Linked DNA regions of Tribolium castaneum. The protein of the gene in region 1 purifies or fractionates together with the protein of each later gene. This does not show direct contact. Links are inferred from orthologs where the notes say so. Each region holds a gene or a part of one and is shown on either strand. Other genes may lie near its edges.

Region 1 (4,721 bases):
CAATAATAAAAATGAATAATTTTTTAAACTGTTTCTTAGGAGATAATACTGAGTCTTGGTACATCTAAAAATTTCGATTTTTTGATGAATTGTAATTTATGTATTAAAAAAAAACTGCTACGAATTGATAGTAAATTCAAAAATAATAATTCATCATTGGGTTAGGGACCGATTATTTGGTGTGAAATTTAAAAACATTAAAAAATAATGATAACTATAGAAACTAATAAAATGAGTCGTTTTTCAAGATTTTTCTCGAATGTAAATTTGCTCAATAAAGTAAAGGCTTTGCTGTTTTGAGGTCAAAACTCTTTTTTTATTAAATTTCGCTAAAATCGGTCGAAAAGTTACAAGTTAAATAGCAAGTGTTATTTCAGCTTCTTTCGCTGAATTTAGTTTAAACCAGATACACATTTATTTTACACGATCTTATCAAAATATGTCAGAAAATCATGGAATTAAATCGAATTCCATTTTTCTTGTTGCACTCTATTTTTCTCGTCTATTTTTAGCGAGATTTCATCAAAAGTTTACCATAAAACTAAATAATTAAGGTGGTAATAATTTTACCAGTTAAAAACTTTTCAACAGCATTTAAACGAAAATCATTATGGGTTAGAAGCTTATTTCTAACGCAAGATTTTTCCACCACTCTAAACCGTTTTTAACCGCTCATTTTCTCTTAAAAAAAACGTAAACCTTTGATGCCATTGGAAAGATTTAAACCGAATTTGGTAAGTGAACCTGCTACACTATTAAAAAGATTTAAAAAAAATGGTAGTGTGGTGAAAGGGGTGTAAATCTGATAATTCTTTCAGCTCGGATCTGGAGATTTTTATTTTTTGCGTTGGTGACAGTGTTACTACGAGATCTGTTAGATTTATTTTAAAGAATTTCTCTAAAAATGCAGTGTCTGTTAGATCGAATTTGTTATTTCGGTCTATATTATTTTGCAGTCTTATCAAAACATCTTTAAAAATGTTGAAAAATTAAATCAAATTTGTTGATGTTTGTCCTGTTCTATTCAATTATTTTAATCTCGAATTTTCTGATTTTTTTGGGTTGGCAACAGTGTTAAATTAAAAATTAAAAAAAGTGATTGTGGATAAAATAACTATAAATTCGGTAGGAATGTCATTAAACGCTCGGACTCCGTTTGATAACTTGAGCCCTCGCAATAATTATACTTCCTGCACCTTGTTTATGTAATATACTATTTTTTATATTTTTTTGTTACAGGAAAATCATGACGAGTTGTGAGTGTAAAAGAGACAATTTTTATATCTTACTGTGTGCAGTGTTTTGTTCCATAGTGTGTACTATTTCTTTGACTGATTTTTGTTAATAATGAGCGTATTACTTCTAATAAAACACAAAATCCTACAATAAGTTGTTTTTGTATTCACATTTTATTTGTACAAAATTCAAATAAATTATTATAACTTGTATGTAATTTTAATATTGAGATGTAAACGTACGACCGACGCTCTTCCATTTTTACTTTTTGTAAAATAATTATGTAAGTGGTCAATAAACACGAACCTCCGTTATTACAAGTTTACTTTTTCTTTTGATGACCTGACATCATCACTGATGTGGCTTAAGCTTTAGTCGCGGCTACTGCCGCCAGGGGCGCTGTAGATGACGATGTGACAGTGCCGCCAACATAATTTTTAAAGATTTGCAACTAATTTCAATTATTGAAGCAAAGTGAAAGAAATCTTATATCTTGCCACTTAACATTCAGACGTTGGCTCTGGAACCCTTTTTGTGATACATTGTTGCAAAATTACTAGTTAATGTAAAGTAGGGGTAACGTGGGCAGTTGATTGGCGACACTGTAAAACGGGTAAGTGAGGTTAAGTTGTGTTAGGTTAAGGTTGTTATCCTGTCAGTGCTGTGTAAAGTATTGATTTTGCAGGTTTTCACTAAACCTGCATTGCAGCATCTTCAAACTGAAGTTACAGAATTTATTCTTGAACGAAAATGGTAATTTTTCAAATGATTTAAAGAACATTGTATTTGATTGTCTCTACCGCAAGTAAACTAACAAAAATTTGTTGTTTTAGTTGTTTAAAGTGGTGAAATGCCCCTCAGATGAGCTGTCATTGACAAATTGTGCTGTCGTGAATGACGCCGACTTTTCACAATCTACAGAGTGAGTCATTAGGATTACATGAGCTGTTCCGAAGCCGATTTATTTGCAGGCATATTGAAGTCATCACAGGAGGAGTGAAAAAGTTCATTTTTTCCATTAAGAAAGACCCGAGAGTTCACAGGAATGAGGTTGCGTTCAGTGTACCACAGAGAAAATGGGCCACCTTGTCCATTAATGATGACATTGAAGTTAATCCTTACAAGGAAGAAGATTACATAACTTCGATTGTCCTGGAGGCTGATTACATGCAAAAGAAAACGTGAATAGTTTGCATTTAGTTTGAGCCCTTTTTAACACATTATTTTATTATAGAACATCGCAAGAGCAATATGACACAGATGAAATGGCTAAAGAATTTATTTACTCGTTTCCAAATCAGATGTTTACTGTTGGTCAACAACTGGCTTTCCTCTTTAAAGACAAAAAGATACTTAGCCTGCTCGTCAAGGACATTGAAGGTAGGTTGGTAAAAAAATAAGATTGTTTTCTGCGTATATGTTTTATAAATTCTAATTATACATAAATTCTAATTATAAGTTGGCAGGTACTAATCTTTCTTAATAATTTCATTAAACAAATGCAGGGCCTAAACAATTATGTAGGTTTTTTTTAGCAAGTGTTTGACTTTGGCAGTCGCAAGCATTCCAAAATTTTTACTGTTTAAAAAAAAACAAAAAACCTCACAGGTAAATCAAACACTCTGAAACATTTTTAAAAGAAAATTTCGTATGGAGAATGACAAATATGCTAAGTCTAATGTGTTGCAATATGTTGCAACTTTTAATAATGATGTGGAATAACTTCAGAAGTCTGTGATTCAGAAGTCTCGTATGTGAGTCAAGATATAGCACGTATTATTTTTTCTTGAATTTAGTTAGGGGAAATGCTAGACTTTGCAACATTAAGCAGATACCTGTTAAAACAAAAGAAGAAAAAACATCGTTTTGTGCTTTATGGAGGATAAAATATCTAACAAACTAGCAAATATGACAATTATTGAATTAAATTTTTAAGGAAATTATTTAAGAAAATATCTGCCATCATTTTGATGTTTAGCTGAACGTCTTTTAGCACCATTTGTAAGTTGGGCCAACATTTTTGAATCATCCTGCAAAAAATCACTTAAATAATGTGTTCGCACATTGTTGTCATTGAATAATGCGGTTCTATAGAATAAATCTTATTTGGAAAAACATGAAGTTTGTTTAAATTATTCCGAAAATGGCATTATTTTTGTACTTTTCAGAGTTTTACCAATTTTTTTCCTATGCGGAAATTAACTATTTTTACTGGTTTCCTACGAAACCATTCAAAAAATCATCACGGTTTTGTAGCCTCGGTTTTTTTCACAATATTTTGTTGAACTGTATTAAAAATACTACATTAGGAGCAACAAAAATACATCATTTTAGCAAAAACACTCCCAAATATCAATTATTTCGAGAAACTTTTTTAATAGACCGAAAAATCACAAAATTGGGGTGAAAATAGTGTTATATTCGCTTTTTCAAACATCCAAGAACGCTTTTGACTTAAAAATTTCAATAGACATATTTCAATATGTCTATTTTTAAAAGCCTTGAAACACCAAATACCGTCAAACTTAATAAGTAATAGTAAATTAATGAATTTGTAATAAATTAGTCTGTAAATGACATTGTTTTTGTGTTTTTCCTGAGGTTTAGCGTTTTTTTCTAATTGGAAAAACATAATTTTGAGTGGTTTCGTAAACAAAATATTCTAAAAATCACCACGGATTCGCAGACTCCGTTTTTTTGCTGAACTGTATCTATCAAAAATGTTAAACTAGGCATAAAAGTTAGAAAATCAATTATTATTTCTAGAATTTTTTATAAATAAACCGAAAAATTGTCATTTTGGGTTAAATGTGGTGTTATTGATGCGTTTTCAAGCATTTAAGCACGTTTTTTGAGTAAAAATTATTTTTATATGCAAAACTTTACGCCAAATTACTATAACGGTTCAAGATTTAAAATTTTTGATGCAATCTGTTATCCAAAATTTTTTCACTTTCCACAGTTACGTAAAGAGGGAAAACTTCATACTGAGCCTCAACCAAAAATATCATGATTATTATATTACATGTTATATTTTGAAAACTAGTTTACGATACCACAAATCAACACCAGCAAGAGAAGATGTTTGCCAACTTTGTTTCGAAATAGTTTCGAAGTAGGTATTGAACTTGAATTTGAATTTTTTTATACAATTTCTTACTGATTATTTTATAAAATAGTTTTTTTTCTTTTTTCTAATTATAAGAAAAGTTCTCTCTTCATTATACTTTTTGTAAAAATGTTTTAAAGACTTTTCTCTTATAAAGTCCATTCGAAATTAAAATCAATTGTCAAATTGTTTCAACGTTGGCAACTCCATTTAAAATTAGTCGTCCAGGCTTTGTTCTATGGCATTGTGGCAGGGTCCCAACATAAATTCAAAATTTTTGACACTGACTAAATTGTTAAAAAAAAGAGGTTTAGGTGCTAATAATGTTGTTGTTTATTCCATAGATATGAGTAGAGGTAGTACACCTTTGTTCTAC
Region 2 (4,919 bases), on another chromosome or scaffold:
AAAGAACTCATCTATAAATTTATAAAAGTGCATTGCTTTAGTCCTTAGCGAAACTACGGAACTTTGACCCGTTCCTCAGCATTAGAAAGGACATTTTAGCAAAAAATTAAATGAAAACGTACCTTTGCCGCATTCATGAGTTCATCAGCCAAACATTCCGCAATCGTTTTGATGTTACGGAATGCGGCTTCTCTTGCACCTGTGCACAATAACCAAATAGCTTGGTTCACCCTACGCAAGGGAGAGACATCAACGGCTTGCCTCCTAACGGTACCTGCCCTTCCAATACGGGTTGAGTCTTCACGGGGGCCAGAATTAATAATGGCATTAACCAAAACCTGTAATACATTTAAAATTCATTACTCGACGTATCATTACTTGGTACTTGAAGTTTGAAACTATTACAATCAGTCAATGGTAGCTAAATTTCAACAAATTATTTTCTGAAGAGGTGTCAGAAAAACAACTAAATCATCATAGTAAACTAAGAAGTGATAAATAATAAAATAACCCTTACTTCAAGTGGGTTGTCTCCAGTTAGAAGGTGGATGATTTCAAACGCATGTTTGACAATACGGACGGCCATCAATTTTTTGCCGTTGTTCCTCCCATGCATCATCAAAGAGTTGGTCAATCTTTCAACAATGGGGCACTGGGCCTTGCGGAACCTTTTTGCCGCATAACGACCTGCTGAGTGAGGTAAATATTTGGCATTCTTCTCTTTTACGGCAATGTAGTCCTGCAAATTAAAAACTAATGAACATCTGCTTACACAAGTGGTTAGAAGAAATACGTAAGTATCGACTCAGATTAACTAGTCACCATGAGGTGGTCTGAAGAGGTGTCAGAAAGTTAAAAAAATGTTATTTCATCATTTAAAATAATTTTAAATAGTTTCTCAAAAAATGCCGGTAAAAATTAGGTAAATACTCTTGATCAGTGGCTTTTGTAGCAAAAATAAAATGAATCTCAAAACAAGTTTTTCTGCAACTGACTGGCGCTCCAGCAAGCTGCTTTACTTTTTTACGATAATGCCCCTACTTTAAGGTGAAAAACTCACCTGCAAAGACATATCTGGGACTTGAACATCGTCGCAGCTCCACCGGCCGAACAATTTAATTTCTGGCATTTCCGCCATTTGGGGCGCGGCGATAGCCCCCGCTTGGATTTCATCGTAATCGTCCACCATTCTTCCTAAAACGCAAAACTATTAGTGCTCTTCAAAACCAACCTAACCCCAAATTGTCGAGACACATGTTTCAGTCGTAGTGCATCAACAACGAGGCATTCTGTCAAGAGGTGTCAGAATTAAATAAAAAATCATCATTTTAAAAAACTGGTCCACTTATTTCACCATAAGATGTTTTTTTGATAAATAGAAACACGTGCCACGTGAAAATTCGTTTTTTTACAAGGTGGAGATAAGCAGTTGTGTTTTTTACACGCATTTAGTGTTTCTACATTATTTTGGTTGAAATTGTAATACATACCTGGAATTTCTGTCTAATATTTATTAAATTATGAGCAAAATAACCATCAACACATTCACCACCATGAACGGTGAACCGGAAAGAGCTTCGCCATTCAAAATGGCGATAATAGAAGAGGAAATGGCAACCTTACGAAATTGGAGACCCTATGATTATCTGTCTCCCTTCCACGCATCGTCGTGACCTTAGCTCTTTCTTTACTCAACTCTAATTCCAGTAACTTTTTCACTGACTTTCTTTTTGATTAAAACGGCGGGTCTTACGAATTTGTTACTAAAACATCAAGTATTTGTTTAGACAATGATTACTCATCGTTATTTAACTAAAGCGTAGGTTATGTGATAGTGAATACAGTGGACTGAATTTTCAATTTCGTGTTTCCTTTTTATACAAATTAAAGATAATTAGGGGTGGAATTTAGGGTTTTTCACAGAGGTAGGTTTATCAATACCACTGACGTTCCCTTGCTAGTGACATTGTTGTTGTTGAAATTATGATTTATTTTACTTAAAATATGAAGTTATATGGTTCTTCGTTTATATCCACCCAACATTCCACATGTTTATGAGCAAGTTACTGTTAAGTTTGCAAGTGCAGAACTTGCCAGCCCACACATATTGACATGACGTTGGAGGACCCGTTTTTTGTAGTGAAAGAGTAAGACTTTGTGCAGTCATAAACATAAGACTTTTTATCGTGATTAGCATTTAATTTGCATAAATTCCGTGTTTGCAACAATGCATGAGCTTTGTGGGGATGTGTTTCATTTCTATTTTATTTATATTGATTTTGGTTGTTCAATGTAAACAAATTACATTATAAATAGAATGATCAAATTTTAGTGAGGTATTTAAGGCGTTAAATAAAACAAGGGGCTTGTATCTTCGATGGACTGAATTGCAAGATGACTCAATCTGTATCACCAAGGATGAAGTAGAATGGACCAACACAGAACTCAAAAACTCTTTACGTAGCATAGAATGGGACCTGGAGGACTTAGAAGACACAATTGATATCCTTTTTTAACACATTCATTGACTCAGTTGACCAGTTTATCAGCCAATAAATCTCACATACAAATTTAAATATACAAAGTGATCAAGAATATCTGTTTAAGTTGGCGATACTGGTAACAGCATTGTATTAAAATAAATAGAAATCATCTCTTGGATGGTGATAAAAAACATCCAATTGAGTTCCTATATTAAAAAATTGTTGGAGTTTTTTTTACGAGATATACACGTGAAGTTAATAGTTGTGCAAATATTTTAAGGTTTTTTAATATTAAAAAAATATTTTTGTTTACAAATTTTTTTATATTTGTGCACTTTTGAGTCATGGTATTATAGAAATTTATTACATTACATTGTTTCAAACAACTAAAAATTAAAATATTTCTGTGGCTAACTAAAATAGTCATTCTTGGTAACTTTGTAGGTGACATTTCTGGTGTTAAATGAGTATTATAAGAACTATCTATTACTGTTTCTAAATGCTCATTACTTTTTTAATTACTAAACAGTTCGAGTATAATTATATCTTTGAAATATTAAGTGTCACTTTTTTCTTCGTAATTTACTTTAAAAACAAATATCACAATTAAAAACTGGTTTCAATAAAAAGTGATATATTAAACTTCTTCTAAATATAGAAATAATTAGTTTACAACACATTTTGTTTGCATTCTTGAAGGAGATAAGTTTTTTCTTAACAGTTAAACACATATTGTAGAGAAAAATCCGTCAAAATTTAAAATCGACAACAAAGAACTTACCATCAGGAAAAACTTCATTGACACAACACGTGAAGAAGTTAAGGTAAAAAGCTTTAAAAATTAACAATATATTTTCGGTTTTGGTTCACTCTTACGTGATTTTAACTTTAATCTATAGTTACTTAAGTTGGTATGTATGTTTTTTTATGTTTTTAATTTGAAATAATTTTCAAATCACTCAAACCATTTTTTCAATACAATTTAATAAAACCTGATAAGCTAATATTTAATATTTTAAAGTATTCCACTTTTAAAAAACTTTTTTTTGTATTTGCTTAACACTATTCCTTGTAGTCCTTGTCATTGATTAATTTATTCAGCTCTAAATAATAAATTGATTTTCCGACTTCCGATGTTTGAAAAGTAGTCAGTTTTTTCAAAAGAAAGGGCTATTAACAACTTACGTTGTTAATAACTTAGTCGGACTTTTTATTGATTATTTGCCTTGAATAAACATATTTACTTTTCAATTTTGTTACTGAAAATGTTAAGGTGACTATCATAATGTTTTAAAAACAGCGGCTTTACGTGTTAGTACATAGGGAAATTAATTGATTTAAACTGTAAAAGGTAATGAAATATAATTATCATACGTAATATAATGAGTTTTTTGTATGGATTTACTTGTTTAAAGGCAGGAGATTTTTATTGGGTGTAGTCCACAATTAATCATACCATTAAAATCTCAATAGAAAATTATTTGTGTACATCAAACACTCAGACTTTGCATTTTTTAGTCAATGAAAGATAAAATCAACATGAATCGAAACAGAGATCGTGATCGTACCGCACGACAGGTAAACAACACCTAAAGTATTCTAAAGCTGACTGGCTGAATTTTTAGCCCTTACTCGACAATAGCCCCGTCAGGGTCACCAACAGCCACGGCACTACAAAATACTCTAAACTGGAAAACGATTTAGACAGCCCTCAACGTCAGTTTTTAAACGACACATTGTCGCAGCAACAATATATGACCAGACAACAAGAAGAGCATTTGGAAGCTATCGGTGATTCCCTCGGATCGTTAAAAACGGTGTCTAGACACATTGGAATCGAGCTCGATGAACAGGCAGGGTAAGAATTCTATTTTTAACAATAATAATAATTTTATTTGTCGAAAAAAAACAGCGTCCCTATTTTTAAAATTCCAAAAAACGCATCTTAGTATAATGATATTCAATGAGAGCTTTCCTTCAATGTCATAATTATGGAAATCAGAATGTAATTTGTTAAATGCGTAATTTTCTTTAATTTCTATTGTTCCATCACTTCTACACCGGTATATCCAGCTATCGGGTTAGATGTTATGCAAACATTCAAGACGATCGTAATAAGGGAAATGGCACTTAGCTGATAAAAAATTATTTGTGTTGTAAAATAATCCGAAGGTTGCGTCACCGATGTTAGAATAATTATTTTAGCTTTTTCCAATGTTTACCTTTTTTGCAGAATGTTGGACGAGTTCGGGACTGAACTCGAAAACACCGACTCAAAACTGGACTCGACTTTGAAGAAGATGGCGAAAGTGTTGCACATGTCCAACGGTAAATTTTCGTATTAAATTGCCACTTTTGTCAGGGATTTATTTACAGATCGGCGGCAGTGGACAGCTATCATCGTTCTATCTATCATTCTTCTTATTGTGATAATTT
Region 3 (4,964 bases), on another chromosome or scaffold:
GAAAAACCAAAATCTTAAAAATCGAACTTATTGACTTTTTTTCTACTTTTAACAACTTCAGTGGGTTGTAAACGTATAGAAGAGTCCACAAAATTTGGTAGAGAGTGTTAAAACAAATATTTTTATTTTTTTTGAATTAAAAAATTGACCGATTTCTAAGGGGGGGGGGGGGGTGTTAACTTCTTTTTTTTTATTTTCTCATTTACGGCCAAAAAAAAGCGCCAAATTCCTAATAGTTTTTTAGATATGTATTTTTGTGTATATGATCTAATTTTTGCTTTTATTTGCATTTTCTCGAAAACTATAAGTCGGACAACAATAATCTTTTTTGCAAATGATAGATCATTAAAAGAGCTTTCCAAAGATAGTACACGTCATAGGGTTATCTCTAATAGTTCCGGAGTTATTGCTTGATAAATGATCCGGGTACCGGAAATCGACAAAATTCGCGACAAAAATTGAAAAAATCAAACATCAAAAATTCGAACATATGAACTTTTTTTGACTTTTAACAACTGTAGAGGAATGTAAGGGCACATACAAGTCCAAAAACCTACGATAGAACGAGTTTTAAAAAAAATTAATTTTTTCACCTTTTTAAAGGTAAGTTTTAGCAAAAAAATTCAAAATTTTAAATCTCATGAAAAGTTGGTATAATACAGAAAATGAGCCGCTGAATTCAATGGAACAAACCGCATTGCCCTACGACTTTTAGTTTTTGAGTTATGAATTTTTTTGTTGAAAAATTATTACGCAAAAAATAAAAAAAAAATTATTCTTGTGAAAAATTGATATAATATGTAAAATGAGCCGTAAAATTCAATGGAACAAACCGCATTGCTCTACGACTTTTAGTTTTTTTTTTATGAATTTTTTTAGTGAAAAACTTTGATCGCCTCTGTAGCCGGAACCATTGCCCGGAGCGGCTTCAGGTTTAGACGAAAAAATAGACAAAAATAAGCGCTATCAGATGGATTTTTGTTCGTTGCTCTAAGTTTTACAGTTTCCGAGAAAAATGCAAAAAAAGATTTCCATTTTCCCTTTTTTTCAATTTTCAACCGCCAATTACGGCGAAACTATTAGAGTTATCGAGAAACGGAAAAATGGAGGACAACCGAAATAAAAAACTCTACAAAATGGCATAGGACTCAAGGCGATATCTCGCAAAAAATTTTTCAATTTTCAAACGCCGATTACGGCCAAACTAAAAGAGCTAGGAGAAAACGCTTTTTTAGATCGGAAAGAGCACATCAAAATCTATAAAATAGAATCGGTTTTATTTGATTTTAGGACACTTTAAAAATTGACCGATTTCTAAGGGGGGGGGGGGGGTGTTAACTTTTTTTAATTTTTTTATTTTCTCATTTACGGCTAAACTATTCTAAAAAGTGGAAGTATTTTGATTCATACCTATGCAAAATGATCCGAGGAATCGATTGGAATCAAGAAAAGCGCCAAATTCCCAATAGTTTTTTAGTTATGAATTTTTGAGTACATGATCTAATTTTTGCTTTTATTTCCACTTTCTCGAAAACTATAAGTCGGACAACAGTAATCTTTTTTGCAAATGATAGATCATTAAAAGAGCTTTCCAAAGATAGTACACATCATAGGGTTATCTCTAATAGTTCCGGAGTTATTGCTCGGTAAATGTTCCGGCTACTCGGAATCGACCAAAATTGCGACAAAAATTGAAAAAATCGAACCTATTGATTTTTTTCTATTTTAACAACTTCAGAGGGTTGTAAACGCATAAAAAAGTCCATAAAACTTTGCTAGAACGAGTTTAATTTTTTTTTATTATTGTGGAATGAAGTGACTGAAATCAAAAATCAAATCTTTAATTTTTGCAAAAAGCTGGTTATCATACGTAGAATGAGGCGCAGAATTCACCGAAACAAACCGTTTTTATCCACGACTTTTAGATTTTGAGTTATGAATTTTTAATAAATAAATCGGCGCATCCACCATTTTTCAAATTAAAATAAATTTTTAAATAAGTTCAGGGGTAAACTAATGTTGAAAAAATGCTAGTGTAATACGTAAAATGAGCCGCAGAATTCAATGGAACCAACCCTTTCCCCCTAGAACTTGTAGTTTTTGAGTTATGATTTTTTTTAGTGAAAGACTAACAATGTCTCTGTACCCGGAACCGTTGCCCGGAGCGGCTCCGGGTTTTGACGGGAAAATAGATAATTTCAAGCGCTATCCGATGCGTTTTGGATTTTTGCTTCAAGTCTTATTGTTTCCATGAAAAACATTCTGATCTAGTGATGTGACGTTACCATTGCGATTTCTGAGGCATGCTGGAACAGCCTGAGGGCCTGTTCCGGGTGCTGCGCCTCCAAAATCTTCGCTGCTTTGTCCAAAGAGGCCGCTGCTGTGTCCGCACTGCCATGGCTCTGAAACATGTTGGCAGCCCTTTCTGCCAAAGAGGCAACATCCTGTAAATCCCCGAGTTCCTTGCACACTAAAACAGCCTGATCTAGAGCCTTGGCGGCCGAAAACAACCTGATTTCAAGTTAGGAAAAAGAAAACCAACTATAAAAAATTAAAATAACACACACACACACAAAAAAAGGATACGCTCTGTTTTGTTTATGGCAGTCGACAGCTTTCAACAAACACTCCTTACATTGGGCAAAGTTTTTTGCGTTACGAAAACACGTTGCTAAAAGTAAAAATTGGGTAAAATACCCTCAGATCACTTTTTTTTAAAATATACAAACCTGCTTTGTTGTAATCATCAGCAGCCGATTCATAGTCAGGTCGCCACTTTAACAGTGATGTTTTAAGGCTGGAAAATAATTAATTGGAGAGAAAAATCACCAAAATTTAGCTCCTTACTGTTTTTCCGCGTTTCGGATGTGCTCCAAACCCTCCTCATTCTTTTTATTCGCCGACATCGCAGATGTCTATGACAAGTGAAACAGATGTTTTCTGACAGTGGGCTGGGTGTTGATGCGTGCGCAGCTTTTGACAGTTGTTCGAATTTTGGCGCCAGAAATTCCATATATTTAAGTAATTCAGCAGTTTTTTTATTTTAAATAATTAATTATGATGAAATTTAGAATAATACTAGACATCATAAAGTCTCCATTAATTACTATTACTATTTTTATATTGATTTTGAAATTTTTAATAACAAGAAATGGTAGAAAAATCTCAATTAATCCGCATGCATTTTTTTAAGTATTATTATTATTTACTATTATTAGTAAATAAAATTTGAAAATAATTTGTTGTATTTTTTTTTCTCAATTTATTTCTATTCTATCTTAAAATTACTATTTAAAATTTCAAAGTTGGCGCCAATTTGTTATACAACCGGAAGCTCAGCCATTTAAAAAAAATAGTTAAACCCAAAATGGTGGATTTGGCACGTATACAAAATTTCAAAACTCTAACTATATTAGAAATTAAAAAGTTTCTAACATAGGCCATAAAAGAATAACCCTGTATATAGATTGATAAAAAAAATTTGGTGTCAAACTGAAACACCCGGTATGATATTACAATTCATCATTCATCACTTACCTTTTTCAATTTTAATCGGTCTTTTGAGGCACAATTACGTGGCTCCTGTCTCTCTTAATAATGAAACATGCTTGTAGAAAAAAATACTTTATTCAGACTTAAAAAAAATGTACAAAATCACTTCTTAGCCAAAATCTTGGCAAAAACATCGGCCGTTTCCTCGAGTAACATCTTCATAATATCAACAGTCACTTGATTCTTGACGATCAACTCATCCTTGTCAAAGTTGGTCCACTGCGATTCTTCCTCTTGAGATTCCAACACCAAAACTTCATCCACATGGTCCCGTTTTTTGCGCCCCCACTTAATAATCGCACTTTCGGCAACTTGGACTTTCTTAAACCCAAACAATTCTTTCAGTTTTTTGGTTAAAATTTTTTCCAAAGTCAAAGAATCAGGGGGTTTGGTCTTAGCCAACTGTGGTTTTTTGGCAAGTGTTAGCCAGGACGGTTCTTTCACTATTTCGAATTGTTTGTAATGATCCCTAGCTACGTCTTTGCAAATATTGAAGAGAAATTCGGCGCAAATTTTCGACACTTCGATTTTCGAAAATAATTTGAAACCGTTTTCGGAAAATTTCACTTTTTCGAGGGTGTTGTTTTGGTGCGCTTTGTGGAGGACTTTCGAACTGTATGACGCAATTTCGCTGATTTCTTTCGCTTCGGTTGGAATTATTGAGTGGGGGAATGAGGAGGAAAGGGAGGAGGGGGGAGTGTAGGGAGGGGGCGGTTTGTTGGGGATTTCGCGCATAAAAACATACGGTAGTTGTTCTTTTTGTTGCAACTCCAACTGTTTGATCTAAAAAAATAACATAAAAAATCTAGTCAAGAAATTAAAATTTTTTACCTCCTGTTCAATGGCTAATTGCTTACGCCATAATTCTTCAGCTTCGCTTCCAAAAATATCAGTCGGTAGTTGGCGACCGTCAAGAGATTCTAAACAAAACCAATTTTTAGTCTAAGATTCAAGTCTTATTTTTTTTATTTTTCTGTTAGTTAGGTAACTGAAACTTTATATGCAAAATTATTCAAGGAATCAGAATCTGTTTTCATTTTTTGTCTACGAGCGATAGTTTTTAAGATATCGGTCAAAATTTGAGACATTGGTTAAGATTTGACAAAATCCAAACTTAAAAAAAATTTTTTTTTTAAACGACAAGTCCAAATAATTTGATTTTTCTTATGTAAAATTATTTGAGGATTTTAAATCAGACTATGAATTTTCCTGTGGCATCAGTCAATAAAGTTTGATAACTCAAGACACGAATTAGAGTAGAAAAATGATAAGTGCTTTTTTTTAGTTTAGTTTTTTTTTAATTTTTGGTCTGGGGTTCAAGTTTGTTTTAATTTTTTTTGTCAGAATCTGTTTTCATTTCTTGTGTACGAACGATAGTTTTTTAAATATCGAGCAAAGTTTTAGACATTGGT

What was found. Proteins that work in one complex are often made in the same cells at the same time.
Region 2: the proteins of vesicle-fusing ATPase 1 (region 1) and Syx6 purify together in Homo sapiens (affinity purification with mass spectrometry; 3 studies listed by BioGRID and IntAct, with this or other methods). This does not show direct contact. The link is inferred for Tribolium castaneum from reciprocal best matches to the Homo sapiens genes NSF and STX6.
Region 3: the proteins of vesicle-fusing ATPase 1 (region 1) and gamma-soluble NSF attachment protein purify together in Homo sapiens (affinity purification with mass spectrometry; 3 studies listed by BioGRID and IntAct, with this or other methods). This does not show direct contact. The link is inferred for Tribolium castaneum from reciprocal best matches to the Homo sapiens genes NSF and NAPG.

The regions. Positions count from the first base shown.
Region 1 is NC_087395.1:13,853,919-13,858,639, forward strand, and holds the start of vesicle-fusing ATPase 1, read left to right. Parts: upstream 1-1,726; 5' UTR 1,727-1,849; intron 1,850-1,853; exon of another isoform or gene 1,854-1,921; 5' UTR 1,922-1,986; coding exon 1,987-1,989; intron 1,990-2,069; coding exon 2,070-2,158; intron 2,159-2,207; coding exon 2,208-2,417; intron 2,418-2,470; coding exon 2,471-2,616; intron 2,617-4,721. Other genes in the region: Calr (calreticulin), read left to right, coding at 1,240-1,260.
Region 2 is NC_087394.1:33,930,288-33,935,206, forward strand, and holds the start of Syx6 (syntaxin-6), read left to right. Parts: upstream 1-1,931; 5' UTR 1,932-2,112; coding exon 2,113-2,147; intron 2,148-2,332; coding exon 2,333-2,502; intron 2,503-3,212; coding exon 3,213-3,307; intron 3,308-4,001; coding exon 4,002-4,061; intron 4,062-4,108; coding exon 4,109-4,341; intron 4,342-4,716; coding exon 4,717-4,811; intron 4,812-4,859; coding exon 4,860-4,919. Other genes in the region: small ribosomal subunit protein uS7, read right to left, coding at 123-338, 518-739, 1,061-1,189. UniProt on the Homo sapiens protein: SNARE promoting movement of transport vesicles to target membranes. Targets endosomes to the trans-Golgi network, and may therefore function in retrograde trafficking.
Region 3 is NC_087394.1:1,525,769-1,530,732, reverse strand, and holds the start of gamma-soluble NSF attachment protein, read right to left. Parts: upstream 2,989-4,964; 5' UTR 2,907-2,988; coding exon 2,848-2,906; intron 2,798-2,847; coding exon 2,730-2,797; intron 2,672-2,729; coding exon 2,587-2,671; intron 2,512-2,586; coding exon 2,286-2,511; intron 1-2,285. Other genes in the region: centrosome-associated protein 350-like, read right to left, coding at 3,655-4,335, 4,384-4,472. UniProt on the Homo sapiens protein: Required for vesicular transport between the endoplasmic reticulum and the Golgi apparatus.